Arabidopsis thaliana: one gene and its partners. The protein of the gene in region 1 interacts with the protein of each later gene in a biochemical or structural test. Each region holds a gene or a part of one and is shown in the gene's direction. Other genes may lie near its edges.

Evidence for each region.
Region 2: the proteins of FT (region 1) and BRC1 form a complex in vitro, tested with the Arabidopsis thaliana proteins (one study listed by BioGRID).
Region 3: the proteins of FT (region 1) and FTIP1 form a complex in vitro, tested with the Arabidopsis thaliana proteins (one study listed by BioGRID).

Annotation. Positions count from the first base shown.
Region 1 is NC_003070.9:24,329,737-24,334,501, forward strand, and holds FT (PEBP (phosphatidylethanolamine-binding protein) family protein), read left to right. Parts: upstream 1-1,636; 5' UTR 1,637-1,641; coding exon 1,642-1,974; intron 1,975-2,789; coding exon 2,790-2,851; intron 2,852-3,564; coding exon 3,565-3,605; intron 3,606-3,729; coding exon 3,730-3,953; 3' UTR 3,954-4,263; downstream 4,264-4,765. UniProt on the Arabidopsis thaliana protein: Component of the mobile flower-promoting signal (floral stimulus or florigen). Promotes the transition from vegetative growth to flowering. Required for 'SEPALLATA3' (SEP3) and 'FRUITFULL' (FUL) accumulation in mature rosette leaves.
Region 2 is NC_003074.8:6,381,671-6,386,343, forward strand, and holds BRC1 (TCP family transcription factor), read left to right. Parts: upstream 1-1,618; 5' UTR 1,619-1,756; intron 1,757-1,837; exon of another isoform or gene 1,838-1,866; 5' UTR 1,867-2,098; coding exon 2,099-2,771; intron 2,772-2,875; coding exon 2,876-2,971; intron 2,972-3,064; coding exon 3,065-3,600; 3' UTR 3,601-3,853; coding exon of another isoform or gene 3,854-3,934; 3' UTR 3,935-4,145; downstream 4,146-4,673. UniProt on the Arabidopsis thaliana protein: Transcription factor that prevents axillary bud outgrowth and delays early axillary bud development. Indirectly required for the auxin-induced control of apical dominance.
Region 3 is NC_003076.8:2,126,416-2,132,329, reverse strand, and holds FTIP1 (C2 calcium/lipid-binding plant phosphoribosyltransferase family protein), read left to right. Parts: upstream 1-1,820; 5' UTR 1,821-2,181; intron 2,182-2,396; 5' UTR 2,397-2,510; intron 2,511-2,683; 5' UTR 2,684-2,745; coding exon 2,746-5,130; 3' UTR 5,131-5,386; downstream 5,387-5,914. UniProt on the Arabidopsis thaliana protein: Involved in the export of FT from the phloem companion cells to the sieve elements through the plasmodesmata. Regulates flowering time under long days. May function as a signaling molecule by regulating the trafficking of other regulators.

The DNA of each region.
Region 1 (4,765 bases):
TTCTTATAGTACTGAGCTCTCCTGTCCAATATTTAAAAATGCATACATTTTTTTGTGTGTAACTAAAATTAGTAGAAAATAAATGCTAGTCGTTAAAAAGTGCATATAGCAGATTTCGAGTTTTTTTTAATTGCGATTTCGATTATCAATGGTCGATCGTAGACGTCTTTTTTAGTAAACAAATCTGAAATTTCTATGAAGGTTACCAAATATTTTGGATTTCAACCTAAGATGAAGTTAACCTATGGACGTGTAGAACAGTGGCTGAAGTCTGAAATGATAAGATAAAGTTCAATATGAATACATTACTGAGATGTTACAAAAAACTACATCACTGAATAATTCCTTTATTTTCCAGTTTGGACAGTAGAACCTATCGCTAATTATTTAATTACCAATTAAAAGAAAAAGAAAGAATAATTCCTACAGTTGTTAGGCTATGGTTATAAGTTTCATCTTTGAACTTAAGAAATGCTCTAATTAGTGGTAATGGTAGTTACATCTATATATGTTGATGCAATGTCAAAAAGAAAATCTCTCAAATTAGCAAATCCATACCTATTTATAGACGCATAAGTATATATACCAATTATCCTGGTCGTGCAAATGGATGGTTAGTATTTTTACAACCAAACTAATGTCTAATTTTAAAAAGTAATCATTATTTTGCTTTAGATTTTTAATAGTTAATATTATATGTATAGATAGATTACCGTATGATATAATTGTTTCAAGACACTAGATACTATCTCAATTATAAAACTCACTTTTCCATAATATGGCCGCTTGTTTATAAAAAAAGAAGAGAAATAAAACAATTGATTTGGTTTATATTATTTAATTGCAGATATCTTGTACTTAATTCATTTTGAGATAATTTTGCGTATTTGAGTTCGGACATTGGTAGGTATGGACGATGAAAATAACTGCCTTCATTCTACATGTTTGAGATTTGTTTGTCGACCATATAACACAAGCGGCTAGAAAAATAGGTGACTATTCTCAAATGTCCTGGTTCTATCTAACCTGAAGGATCCCTTGTTCTACCTGGTATAACTACAAGAAAAGGCTGTTTTATAAAATATATCATTTCTTCTATGATTTCTATCTCAACTTTTTTTTTAGTTTTTTTCTTTTAGAACGTTTTCGCTTTCGAATTTTTTAAGAATTTTTTTTTTCTTTATATCTCTAAATAATAGTTTTAAAAACATAACAAGTGATACTGTAATTTTTTTTTCTCTATAAACTTGGCGGTACCCTACTTTTTTCTTATTTTTATTAATAATCTTACTTTGTTATGATAAATTATGTTAATATATGGCAAAACTAAATATATATGAAACTACTGATTACTCATTATCATAATTAATATCTTTGTATAAAAGTAAATAATATTTAGTCGAGAGAGGTATCTTGTTAAAGGAAATAAATCAAAAATTAGTGGCTACCAAGTGGGAGATATAATTTGGAATATTTCCAGTGTATTAGTGTGGTGGGTTTGGAATACCACAAACAGAAATAAAAAGAAAGAAAAATATGAAATAAGACGACAATGTGTGATGTACGTAGAATCAGTTTTAGATTCTAGTACATCAATAGACAAGAAAAAGATTGTGGTTATGATTTCACCGACCCGAGTTAATGCAAATCCGAAACAGTATAAATATGTGTAGAGGGTTCATGCCTATGATACAAATTAAAGAAGCAGAAACAAAAACAAGTAAAACAGAAACAATCAACACAGAGAAACCACCTGTTTGTTCAAGATCAAAGATGTCTATAAATATAAGAGACCCTCTTATAGTAAGCAGAGTTGTTGGAGACGTTCTTGATCCGTTTAATAGATCAATCACTCTAAAGGTTACTTATGGCCAAAGAGAGGTGACTAATGGCTTGGATCTAAGGCCTTCTCAGGTTCAAAACAAGCCAAGAGTTGAGATTGGTGGAGAAGACCTCAGGAACTTCTATACTTTGGTTCTTTCACTTGAACTCCCTTTTGTCTCTTTTCTTCTTTAGTTTCTTCAGTGCTTCTTACACCTTCTTTTTTAAAATAGAAATTATTTTCCTTTTTTGGGGTATACTGAAAATATTTCTTGGGCATGCAGAGACCTTGGTTAAAAATGCCCCACGCTTTCCTTTTCTCTGTTTTTTTATGATTTATTTGGTTTTACTTTATGATACCCAAATCAAAAACTAATTTATATTTCATTTCTTTTTTCATGAAGATGGACCCATAAAATATTTCTTCCTATCCTAAATTAAATAGAGATAAATTTATGATCTATCCCAAATTTTTTCCACCAACTTCTTGCATAAGTGATTATTATTTAGGATAAGAATCTTGGGATTTTTCTTTGTTCCTCCTACCTAATAATTTAATTTGCATTTGTTTTTTTTTGTTTTTTTTTAAGTATAATTTTTTACTATACTTTGAAAATGGCATTTTTGAAATATCCTTTTTGCTAATTAAAATATCTGCAAAAAGATATAGAAAATTGATGTTCATTAAAACAAATATATATATTGATGAATCTCTGTTGTGGAATATTTGAAAACTGTTTGAATAAGGATATTCTGATATTCAAGCCAGCCTTTAAGATACTCTCTGCTATATATAGACATGTAGCTACTACCTTTTTTCTATTCATAGTTTTCTTCTTCTTTCTTGTGTTATCTCATTTTCCAAACTTCAAAAAAGAAAAAGAAAAAAAGACCTTTTGCTTTCTTGATTTCTTTGAAAATGATAATCTTATCTTCTTATAATTCTTCGTCTTATTTGTTTAATGAAGGTTATGGTGGATCCAGATGTTCCAAGTCCTAGCAACCCTCACCTCCGAGAATATCTCCATTGGTTTGTGCACTAACTCAACTCTTTAATTAATTCACTTTTAAGTTATAGCATAGCTCAAACATGTTGCTCGAATTATATATATAGACACTCAACTACACATGTAAAACTGGACATGTATTTTGGATACTTTGAAATTGAGTAGATCACTTATAACTTAAGACTCAAACATTTTACATTTAATAGAAGGAGACATATAAAATCAACTTCGAGAGTGCGATGCATCAATTTGTCTCCCAAAAAAGCCCACACCCAAGCTAAATTGACATATTTTGTTCAAAAACTTTACTATGTGTAATGTAAATATGTATTATGTATGTCTGTGTATTTTACTGATCGCACATAGATTCTATAGAATGTATAGGACGTGACTTGAACTAAGATTTGTTTTTTTCACTTTAAAGTGGTCTTTGTACGGGAATATCATTGAGCTTAAAATAGCCTGATGACATCATCATTGTTCCTTGAAGTGAGCAGGACTAGGTTTCCTGTTATATCACTTTTTATTTTTATTTATATATTCATGCACTTGAATGTTATTGCATGTTTTGCTAGTCACTTGCACTAGTAATCTAGGAATTAGTTACGTTGCTATTATTTTTTTGTAAGAAAATAAAGTTTAAGTAGCATTTCAATTCTGTCAAAAAAAGAAGTAGCATTTCAATTATGTTGTGGTGCCATAGCTTAAACATGTGTATGGCTATCTCTCATTACAGGTTGGTGACTGATATCCCTGCTACAACTGGAACAACCTTTGGTGAGTTTTATTCTATATATTAGATCGCTAGGTGTTAGAAATATAGAAAGGTATATGAAATAGCCTAATTAATTAGTTACTAGCTAGAAAATTCACATGTTTTGATGAACTTTTTATTTTTCAGGCAATGAGATTGTGTGTTACGAAAATCCAAGTCCCACTGCAGGAATTCATCGTGTCGTGTTTATATTGTTTCGACAGCTTGGCAGGCAAACAGTGTATGCACCAGGGTGGCGCCAGAACTTCAACACTCGCGAGTTTGCTGAGATCTACAATCTCGGCCTTCCCGTGGCCGCAGTTTTCTACAATTGTCAGAGGGAGAGTGGCTGCGGAGGAAGAAGACTTTAGATGGCTTCTTCCTTTATAACCAATTGATATTGCATACTCTGATGAGATTTATGCATCTATAGTATTTTAATTTAATAACCATTTTATGATACGAGTAACGAACGGTGATGATGCCTATAGTAGTTCAATATATAAGTGTGTAATAAAAATGAGAGGGGGAGGAAAATGAGAGTGTTTTACTTATATAGTGTGTGATGCGATAATTATATTAATCTACATGAAATGAAGTGTTATATTTATACTTTACGTGTATTCATTTCTTTTCGATGCAAAAATCAGGCAGTGGGAAGAATCTGCTGTTTTACTTTTGGGTTCCATAATACACTTTTTTGTGTTGCTACTAAAGTACTGATAATATCCAAGTCGATCATTATATATCAAACTAAAGAGTTTGCATTCAATACATAAGCTAGAAAAGTAGAGCAATATTTTGGTTTTAAGTTTATGGGCTCACGTATGAAGAAACACATGTGTAAGATCGAATCCTAGGATCAAACCTTAATTATTAAATCCTTGAAAGGTAAACATATGAAGTATTTATACATTCTGAAGATTAATTACTAATGGACTTCGACGTTAGATCTTGTTCCCATGATAGAAAAACGTTTTTTTTTTAATTTGGGATAAATACGAGGAACAACTTAAGCATTTATGTTTTATTTAAAAGCGGTTTAGGCGGTTGTATTGGCTCCGTCTAGACGTTATGCTGTCAAGTTATGGTTAGATCACTGATTCAACGCCTAAAATAGTATAAGTTTCGATTTAATGTATTTTCTATTTTAAAATTAAATTTGAGTTTAAAACTAAAAATA
Region 2 (4,673 bases), on another chromosome or scaffold:
TATTTGAACTCAATTGGATTCCAATAAGTCTACGTAAGAAAAAGGAGCTACCCTTTTTTACTAATAATTTACAGAAGAGGATGTTGCATAACAATCAATTTAGAACAATCATCTATGTCTATACTTAATTTTGAGAAACATCCATGATGGATATAAATTGTTATAACAGTGTTTAAATTTATTTGATATTCTCAATAATATATATATATATATATATATTATAATATAAGAATTCATATTTTATACTTTAAAATACAATTAATAATATTTTACAACAATAAATAAATGTATTTAAACCTAAAAGTTGGCACAAGAAAATGGAATTAAAAAATATTACTGATCTGTATGGTTTTCTTGAGGGATCGCCATGATTGATGATTCAGTTTTTACAACCCATTCAGTTCGATAGATTATCTAATATAAGATTTTTTTGTCAAATATTTTTTTTGATCTAGTATAAGTTTTTTATTTATGAAACAACAAATAAAAGATTTGGACTTAAGAATGGATAGAAGTTTTGGAATAACAATATTTGTGTCCTATGTATAAAAATTATTAGATAGAGATACAAAAATTGTTATCTGAACAAATGCAATATATCAATAGTTAGTGTACATATGAAGTCATAAGAATTACACCAAAATACTCTTTAAAAATATGAAAAAGTTGTTTATAGTGTTTTGAAAAATACCACCAAACAAAACTTTATAATTTTATTTGACCTTAGTTCTTTCTTACGGTGAAATGCAAATCAATATTTTATATATATTTTAATTATATATTCCTTGTTCCTATTTCCTTTAGACATAATCTAAAATCTTCTAACTTTTCTTCTATTAATCCTTTTCCAAATAAAGGCATAACTAATAATAAAATTTATCCTTAATTTTATCTCATATTTATTTCTATTCAACTTTTTATTTTGATCTTCTTAATATGCAAACATACATTTATATGTCTATTTTTGGGTGAAATTAAATCTCATTACCTTTTATTTCTTTCATTTAGTTATACCTTGATCTTTATCTACTAAAAATATTAAAAAATATAATCAATGTGGAAAAATCTATCTAACTAAATTTTAAATGTCATTTCAATAATTTAAATAAAGATCTGTTTATTTAAAGTGAAATGTTAATGTAATTGGTAAATATATGTTCTGTCAAGAAACTGTAATATTAATTATTCTAGCTAAATCCTAAAGTTATAACATATATTCTATAGTAAATACAGTGAAATATTTTATATTGAATTAACTATTTTTAGGCATCTTTTAGTGCATGCTATTAATTTTAAAGATATATACAATCTTTGATTAGTTGAAATATAGCTGTCAACAATTTAATATCTATCAAATAATTATACTGAGTTCTTATCTACATATTAGTAATGAACTATCTCAAAGAAATATAAGAACATAAACAAACACAAGGTCCTAATTATAGAAAAAAATCTTGATAATCAAATAAAACGAACATCTATTATCACATTTTCACAAAAAACAAAAACGAATATATTTTTATCATGCCGAAGCTAGGAATTAAGAAAAATATATAAACAAAATAAATGCTTTTTCAAAGGCTTATATGTTGTTCCTTCCCCCATAATGATCTCTTTGCCTCTCTCTCCATATAGCTCTCCCTCTCTCTCTCTTTTTCTCTCTCTTTCTCTCCATTCTAGTTCATAGCACATAGACTCATTTAAGTACGTCGCCTGTGTTGTCTTTCTCAACCATTAGTCCTTTGCTTCGATAAAGGTATTCTCTCTCTACACATTTAGACACACACATAGATTCTCTAGAACAAAGACATATTGTACTATCTGACTAATCACTATTACTGCTCTTTTTTTTTCTTGATTTTGCAGGCTAAGGAAAAAAAGAAATCTCTCTTTCTAATTTTCTTGTTTTCATTTTGGTTGAGACTTGAGATCAATGTCTTCGTCATTGGAACAGTAACCTTTCTCTTTGATTCAAACTTTCTTTCATTTTCTTCTCTTTTTTCTTGTGTGTCTGAAGAAGATTATAGTACAAGTGTCATTCTCAAAATTTTGTCTTAGGGTTTTTTAATTTTGTTACTTCAAAAACCCCTAAAAAGGCATGAACAACAACATTTTCAGTACTACTACCACCATCAATGACGACTACATGTTATTCCCTTATAATGACCATTATTCCTCACAACCATTGCTCCCTTTTAGCCCTTCTTCTTCCATTAACGACATCTTGATTCACTCCACCTCTAACACATCAAACAATCATCTTGACCATCATCATCAATTCCAACAACCTTCTCCTTTTTCTCACTTCGAATTTGCCCCGGACTGCGCCCTCCTCACCTCTTTCCACCCAGAAAACAATGGCCATGATGATAACCAAACCATCCCAAACGACAATCATCATCCATCACTTCACTTTCCCTTGAACAACACCATTGTAGAACAACCCACTGAGCCCTCGGAAACTATAAACCTTATAGAAGATTCCCAGAGAATCTCAACTTCTCAAGACCCAAAAATGAAAAAAGCCAAGAAACCCAGCAGAACGGACAGGCACAGCAAGATCAAAACGGCCAAAGGGACACGAGATCGTAGGATGAGACTCTCGCTAGATGTCGCCAAAGAGTTGTTTGGCTTACAAGACATGCTTGGATTTGACAAAGCCAGCAAAACCGTTGAATGGTTGCTTACACAAGCAAAACCTGAGATCATAAAGATCGCGACAACCCTTTCTCACCATGGCTGCTTCAGCAGCGGCGATGAGTCTCATATCCGTAAGTATCCATTCTTTTCTAGTTTTAAGTCTATTCAAGTTTTCAACTTCTATGAATTTTTTTATATCATAATCTGAAAATTGTAAATTTCCTAATTAATTAAGGACCGGTGTTAGGATCCATGGACACATCTTCTGATCTATGTGAACTTGCATCCATGTGGACGGTCGACGATAGAGGCAGCAATACTAACACGACCGGTACGACCTTAACCGTTGCCTTTCTGATTTACAATTATATATAGAGTACTTTCTATCAAAATGTTACAAAAGATAAATTATCTTATACATTAGAAACAAGAGGAAACAAGGTCGATGGGAGATCGATGAGAGGGAAGAGAAAGAGGCCAGAACCGCGAACGCCCATTTTAAAGAAGTTGTCCAAGGAGGAGAGAGCGAAAGCTAGAGAAAGAGCAAAGGGTAGAACAATGGAGAAAATGATGATGAAGATGAAAGGAAGATCACAATTAGTGAAAGTTGTGGAAGAAGACGCTCATGATCATGGTGAGATAATAAAGAATAATAATAGAAGCCAAGTGAATCGGAGTTCTTTTGAGATGACACACTGCGAAGACAAGATCGAAGAACTTTGCAAGAACGATCGTTTTGCAGTTTGCAACGAATTTATCATGAATAAGAAAGATCACATTTCAAATGAATCTTATGACTTAGTCAACTACAAACCGAACTCATCATTCCCAGTGATTAACCACCATCGCAGCCAAGGAGCAGCTAATTCCATTGAGGTACCTTATTTATATCTACGAGTCACATTTATAATTTTTATGAGTTTTTTTCCAATGGTTTTATCTAAAGCTATACACAGTTAATTCAAGTTTTAGAGGTAGGGTATATCAAATTCAATGACACTAATGCACCACCATCGATTAATTAATGCTATATATAGTTTAATTAGAAGTTAGTTTTTGTGTTTTGTGGATTGGTACTTGGTTATTACTATCTAGTTCCACATCAGCGATTCAAAGGCGCCGGTTTTTTTTAACTGACTTGGTTATACTATTATGGTTTTTATTGTTCAAATTTTCATCGATTTTTTTTTTTTTGGGGCTATGTACCTTGCAGCAGCATCAGTTTACGGATCTTCATTACTCCTTCGGCGCGAAACCAAGAGACCTCATGCACAACTATCAAAACATGTATTGAAACTGATTTCATTTAACATTAATATCTCAAATTAATGATATATAGTTTGGTGAGAGAGATATGTTAATCCATCTTATGTTTTTTTTTCTTAACATCGTAATTAATCATGTTTATATGAAGGCTTTTTCGTCATTTTAGTGTCAAATATTAAACCTATGTGAAGAAATTAATGCAATTTGTATAATATTTTGTTTTCATAGTTCGAGTGGATTTTTAACTGATATGTATCCTTTAAACGTTGTTTGTTAATATTATCTCTGTGTTGTTAAGTTTGTCTATCGTTTGCTTTTAGGAATACAACAAATGACAAAAACAAAAGGAAACGTGACAAACTGATGACAAAATTATATAAGTTAAGATTCATGATTCAATACATTCTCAATCTATATTCCTTCTGAGACCTGGACGTCAGTTCTAGTAATCAGGCAATTCAAAACCTTTCAAGCCTATTAAGTTAAATGCGATCGACAAACGTATCGGGTATCACTAGGCTTGTGATCTATGTATAAGTGGGTTAACGTACATTGTATACAGACAAGTTCATATATGCGTAATTTGTGTAATATATTACGTGGAAACTTTATCATTTTCAAATATATTTTTTATAACTGATGTGAAGCTATTTGCTTTTTCCCTTAACCAATGATAAGTTCTGCTCTAATAAATCGAAATGTCTTGGGAGTAGTAAGTTACTTCTCTATTGTGATAAGTTTGAGTTACTTAATTTGGAGAGTTTGGT
Region 3 (5,914 bases), on another chromosome or scaffold:
TACATACTATATAGTGAGTGATATAGACTTAGAGAGACGGATTCGATTTGATCTCTGTTTCCACATGGACCGTAATAATAGTCAATACATATCATATAGTCAAGATGTCGGCGTTGAATATGTTTGGGTAATGCAATTACGCGTTGTATATAATTAGGCTATAACCGGTGCAAGTTATATCTCCTTGAAGCATTTGGAAATGTATACTGAGGCAATGTCTTCACCATCTAATACAACTTCTCAAAAGTTCATCCAAATTTAAGTAACCCAATTGATCTATCCAACAAACATAAGATTTGAGAGAAAGTTTAGATTTTGGTTCATATTTATAAGAAAATATCGAACAAAGTTTATGGTCATCTTCAAATCGATCCGACCGTTGGAAGAGATTTATCACAAACGGCTCTATTGAGATAAGTGATTTCTGTTTTTCTATGAACAAATAAATAAAATAAGTTACCGAAGAAGAGCCAAAGTGTGGGCTTAATTCATCTTTCAGATCTCAATGAACGTGAATGAGGCCCAATTAGTTTATAATGGGCACTATGAAAGCCACTAGACAAGTCTTATGTTCACAAATGATGATCAACTGTATCTGATCCACAATGTAAAATGTCTAATGTTCACGCCAAGTCTAAATGCTTTGGTTTCGTTAGACATTAATAAATCGTAATTGTGAACCAAACTAAACCGAGAAAAATGGATATTATGTGACAAGTCTATCAAGATGATGCATAAAAGAACATAATAATATAGTCATCATTACTAAGCATCACTGAGGCAGCAAAAGCGGACCACTAAAGTTGGATCCTTTACAACTTGATAAGTTGGTTCATAAAAATTCAAATTAGCCTTCATAAAAGTTTTAAAAAGAAAAAGCATTCCAGTTTATTCATAGTTTACATATAACATAGATGTAAAAAATGTTAGAACCATCTTATAACTTTTTTGATAAAGAAACAATACAAGAACTTATTCCACACCTTTTTATTCTTTCTTTTGGGAGGTTTTGAATTTCAGGCAACTTAAATTCATCTACGTTGGTAAAAACAATTCTTTATCCTCAGAAATGTTTATTGGAAATTGTGTAGAACTCATCTATAACTTGTCTAAAATATTAAACACATGATTTTGAAGAAGATTGACTACATCCTCATGAGAGCTCATTTGCTATGGTTGAAACCTGGACACATTTTAACAAATGCAAGTGGAGTGAAGAACCGGTTCTTGTTTGATACTATACAAAGGGAAATGTCGATCTAACTGAAGTTAGTTTCATCTCTGCTGTTAGGGTCGATTTAGTCTCGGTTCACTGATTCTTTTTACCAAATAGTTTAATAAGCTCCAGTGCGGGCATTAGAAATAAAAATGGCGAGATAATAAGGTAATGATGTTACTCAATCAAATAATAATAATCACTCCTTAGCCTAGCCTGCCCTTTTGCTTTTTATGAAAAAGTTTCAAACTCCAAAAAGCTATTTTTTAGATGCTTATTCCAATGAGGCAGAAAGAAAGAAACACTAAAGATATATATACTCACAGGGGAAAGTTGGTGTTGGAAATGTTTCTAATTATCACTTTGGCACTAAGTATATTATCTGTGAGTTCTTGTAAATTTATGTTTACATGTTTTATTTTATATATTGATGCGAAACTATTTTTGTGAAAAGTTTTGATTAAAGCATGAGAAAGTTTCACTTGATGTTGGGTTTGAGTGTTTTATCCGGGTTTATTCATCCTTGAAATCAGTCATGCAATTTGGCAAATATGTGGTGTAATTTTTTACAAGTGTGAGAGAATCTACTATTTCTACCTTTGTCACTGCTGAAAAATTTCTTAATGTACCTAAAAGTCTTAAGACAAACGAAGAATCTGCTTTCCTATTTAATAAAACGAAGATAACAAAAAAAAAGAATCAGCTTCCCTCTTAAAGAAGGAGAAAAACAGAGAGAATAAGAAGTAATTTTTTAGGGTTCTTCCTTTTTCATTTTGATTCTTCTTTTTCTTTGAGATAGAATTGTTTCTCTTTCGTTCTCTCTCTGTGTATCAAACAAAAATTTGATTATGGAATAACTCTTAACTTCTTGGTTTCTTAAATTCTTCTTTCTTTCTTTTTTTCATTTCTATGGTACAGCAGCAAACAGAGAATTTTATGGCAGCTTCTTCAACATCTTTCTCAAGGTACTGCTTACTAAGTTAAACGCATCCTTCTTTACATATATACATGTTCTTGAAATATTGTTGGTCCATATAAAAATAGCTCTCTTTTTTTGTAAGTTCGAATACTATAGATTTATCTCTTTCATTGATTTTGTTTGCTATCTTCTTTTTCTCTTCATTTACTCTCTATTTATCGTTTTCATATTAATCCTTCTCTTACTTTTCATTTGCAAAAGATAATTCAAGACATTCTGTGTTTTCCTGCAAACACTTGAATGAGTTCATGGAACAGAACCAAGAGACAAAGCTTATATTTGCGTCGACCACTTAGTATATATTGTTTAAATCAGGTAAGAATCCTTTCAATTATCTTGGTTGAGATTGAAAGTAAATTACTAAATACTAATTATAAAGGTTTTAAATCAGTTCTGATGAGATACATTAGTTTCTTTACATCCAAGAAACAGGTTTTGTCTAATCATTTTTTCCTGCAATTCTCAGATTCTGTTTTTTTGTATGTCAGGAACAGAATTGAAACGTTTTGAAAGAAACAGGAGAATCTTTTGGTTCAAGTAATCTAAAACCATGGCAGCCAAAGATGGAGCTAAGAGCCAAGAAGACTATAAGCTTAAAGACATGAAACCAGAGCTTGGAGAGAGATGGCCACATGGAGGACAGCGTGGAGGAACCGGATGGATTGGCAGTGAACGAGCTGCAAGCACATATGACCTTGTTGAGCAAATGTTTTATCTCTATGTTCGGGTCGTCAAAGCCAAGGATCTTCCTCCAAACCCTGTCACCAGCAACTGTGATCCTTATGTGGAAGTGAAAATAGGAAACTACAAAGGAAAGACTAAACACTTCGAGAAAAGAACCAACCCGGAGTGGAATCAAGTTTTCGCATTTTCAAAAGACAAGGTCCAATCCTCTACTGTTGAAGTCTTTGTGCGCGATAAGGAGATGGTTACAAGAGATGAATACATCGGGAAGGTTGTGTTTGATATGCGTGAGGTTCCTACAAGAGTTCCTCCTGATAGTCCACTTGCACCTCAGTGGTACAGATTAGAAGATCGGCGAGGTGAGAGTAAGAAAAGAGGAGAGGTTATGGTAGCGGTTTGGCTTGGGACGCAAGCCGATGAAGCATTTCCTGATGCTTGGCATTCGGATGCTTCCTCTGTTCAAGGAGAAGGTGTCCAAAGCGTGAGGTCTAAAGTCTATGTATCTCCCAAATTGTGGTATCTGCGGGTTAATGTCATCGAGGCGCAAGATGTTGAGCCTAGTGACAGGAGCCAACCACCTCAAGCTTTCGTTAAAGTACAAGTTGGGAATCAGATTCTGAAAACAAAGTTATGTCCTAACAAGACGACGAATCCGATGTGGAACGAAGATCTTGTTTTTGTAGCTGCAGAGCCATTTGAAGAACAGTTCTTCTTGACGGTCGAAAACAAGGTGACACCAGCTAAAGATGAAGTCATGGGGAGGCTGATCTCACCTTTGAGCGTATTTGAGAAAAGGTTAGATCACAGAGCTGTTCATTCCAAATGGTACAACCTCGAAAAGTTTGGGTTTGGGGCTCTGGAAGGAGACAAGAGACACGAGCTCAAGTTCTCCAGCCGAATCCACCTACGAGTTTGCCTTGAAGGAGGTTACCATGTAATGGACGAGTCAACTCTGTACATCAGTGACGTGAAACCTACGGCAAGGCAACTATGGAAGTCTCCTATTGGCATCCTTGAAGTAGGAATCTTGAGTGCTCAAGGGCTATCGCCTATGAAAACAAAAGACGGTAAAGCGACAACAGATCCGTATTGTGTTGCCAAGTACGGTCAAAAATGGGTGAGAACAAGAACCATCATTGACAGCTCTAGCCCTAAATGGAATGAGCAATACACATGGGAAGTGTATGATCCTTGTACAGTTATCACACTGGGAGTTTTCGATAACTGTCACCTTGGCGGAAGTGAGAAATCGAACAGTGGAGCCAAAGTGGATTCGAGAATCGGGAAGGTAAGGATCCGGTTGTCGACTCTAGAGGCTGATAGAATCTACACTCACTCCTACCCTCTTCTTGTTCTGCAAACAAAAGGGTTAAAGAAAATGGGAGAAGTCCAATTAGCTGTGAGATTCACTTGTCTATCCTTGGCTCACATGATCTATCTTTATGGCCATCCTCTGCTTCCAAAGATGCATTATCTCCATCCATTCACTGTGAACCAATTAGACAGTCTAAGATACCAAGCAATGAGCATTGTCGCAGCACGGTTATCTCGAGCAGAGCCTCCTTTAAGGAAAGAGAACGTAGAGTACATGCTTGATGTTGATTCACACATGTGGAGCATGAGAAGGAGCAAAGCTAACTTCTTCAGGATAGTGTCTGTGTTTGCAGGCTTGATTGCTATGAGTAAATGGCTCGGAGACGTCTGCTACTGGAAGAATCCGTTGACGACGATATTATTCCACGTTCTCTTCTTTATATTGATTTGTTATCCGGAGCTGATACTCCCAACCACATTCCTCTACATGTTCTTGATAGGGCTTTGGAATTTCCGGTTCAGGCCGCGTCATCCTGCTCATATGGACACAAAGGTATCTTGGGCTGAAGCGGCTAGCCCTGATGAGCTAGATGAGGAATTTGATACTTTCCCAACTTCAAAGGGACAAGATGTTGTGAAGATGAGGTATGATAGGTTAAGAAGCGTTGCGGGTCGGATCCAGATGGTTGTTGGAGACATTGCAACGCAAGGAGAGAGGTTTCAGGCTTTGTTGAGTTGGAGAGATCCGCGTGCGACTTGCTTGTTTGTGATTTTTTGTCTTGTTGCTGCGATGATTTTGTACGTGACGCCTTTCAAGATCATAGCTCTTGCGGGTGGGATGTTCTGGATGAGGCATCCTAAGTTCAGAAGCAAGATGCCTTCTGCTCCAAGTAACTTCTTCAGGAAATTACCTTCAAAAGCAGATTGTATGCTTTGAATTGTAAAACTTCTTTGTGGCTTTTAGGTCTTCTCTGCTCGTAACTTGTGTTTCTTGTGTTCGTGTGTTTATCTGCTCTGTTTTATTATTTTGTTCTGTTTGCTTCTATTCTTATCATGTACTGTGTTGTTGGGTTTACTCTAAAACCCAAAAGTAGTGGGCTTTAGTTATAATGTTTTGTTTGTACGTTTTTTCCTTCTCTTAAAAAGAAATAAAATTCAATAGAAAACTTTAGGGCCCAAAAATTTACGGCCCAAACGAATTTGTAGTCCAAGAATAAACACATGTATAATCTGATTGCTAGTGTATGTACTTAGAAACTATTTTTTTTCAAATATTTGCGGCTAAATCAATCTCGTTTTTTGTGATGTAAAAAGATTTTTGTTGTTTTGATTTGACCATGCATGTGTACTACTGTAATGTTCACTTTTATCAGTCAAGAAATAAAAATAGAAGAGTTGAAAAAAATTAACTGGTGACAGCAAAGAAATGAAAAGTAAAGGAGAGAGAGAAGGGCGTTGAACCCAAAGCAAAACGGTACTGATCCCAAGTCCCTGACGGTATCCTACAGAACTCACCATTTGTCACCTTCCTCACTGGTCAATGCTTTAATTTGACCTAACAAGTGATAAGTCTTGCATGCAACTGCAATTGTTGCCAGCCTTCTATTTTTGTTTCCTTTCAATACTCTCTCATGTTCTTGTGTTTGGAATTGAAGATCAAGTATAATTTTTCACTTGAATTTGCATAAGGAAGAATTCATTAAAAGGTATGGAATACTTGT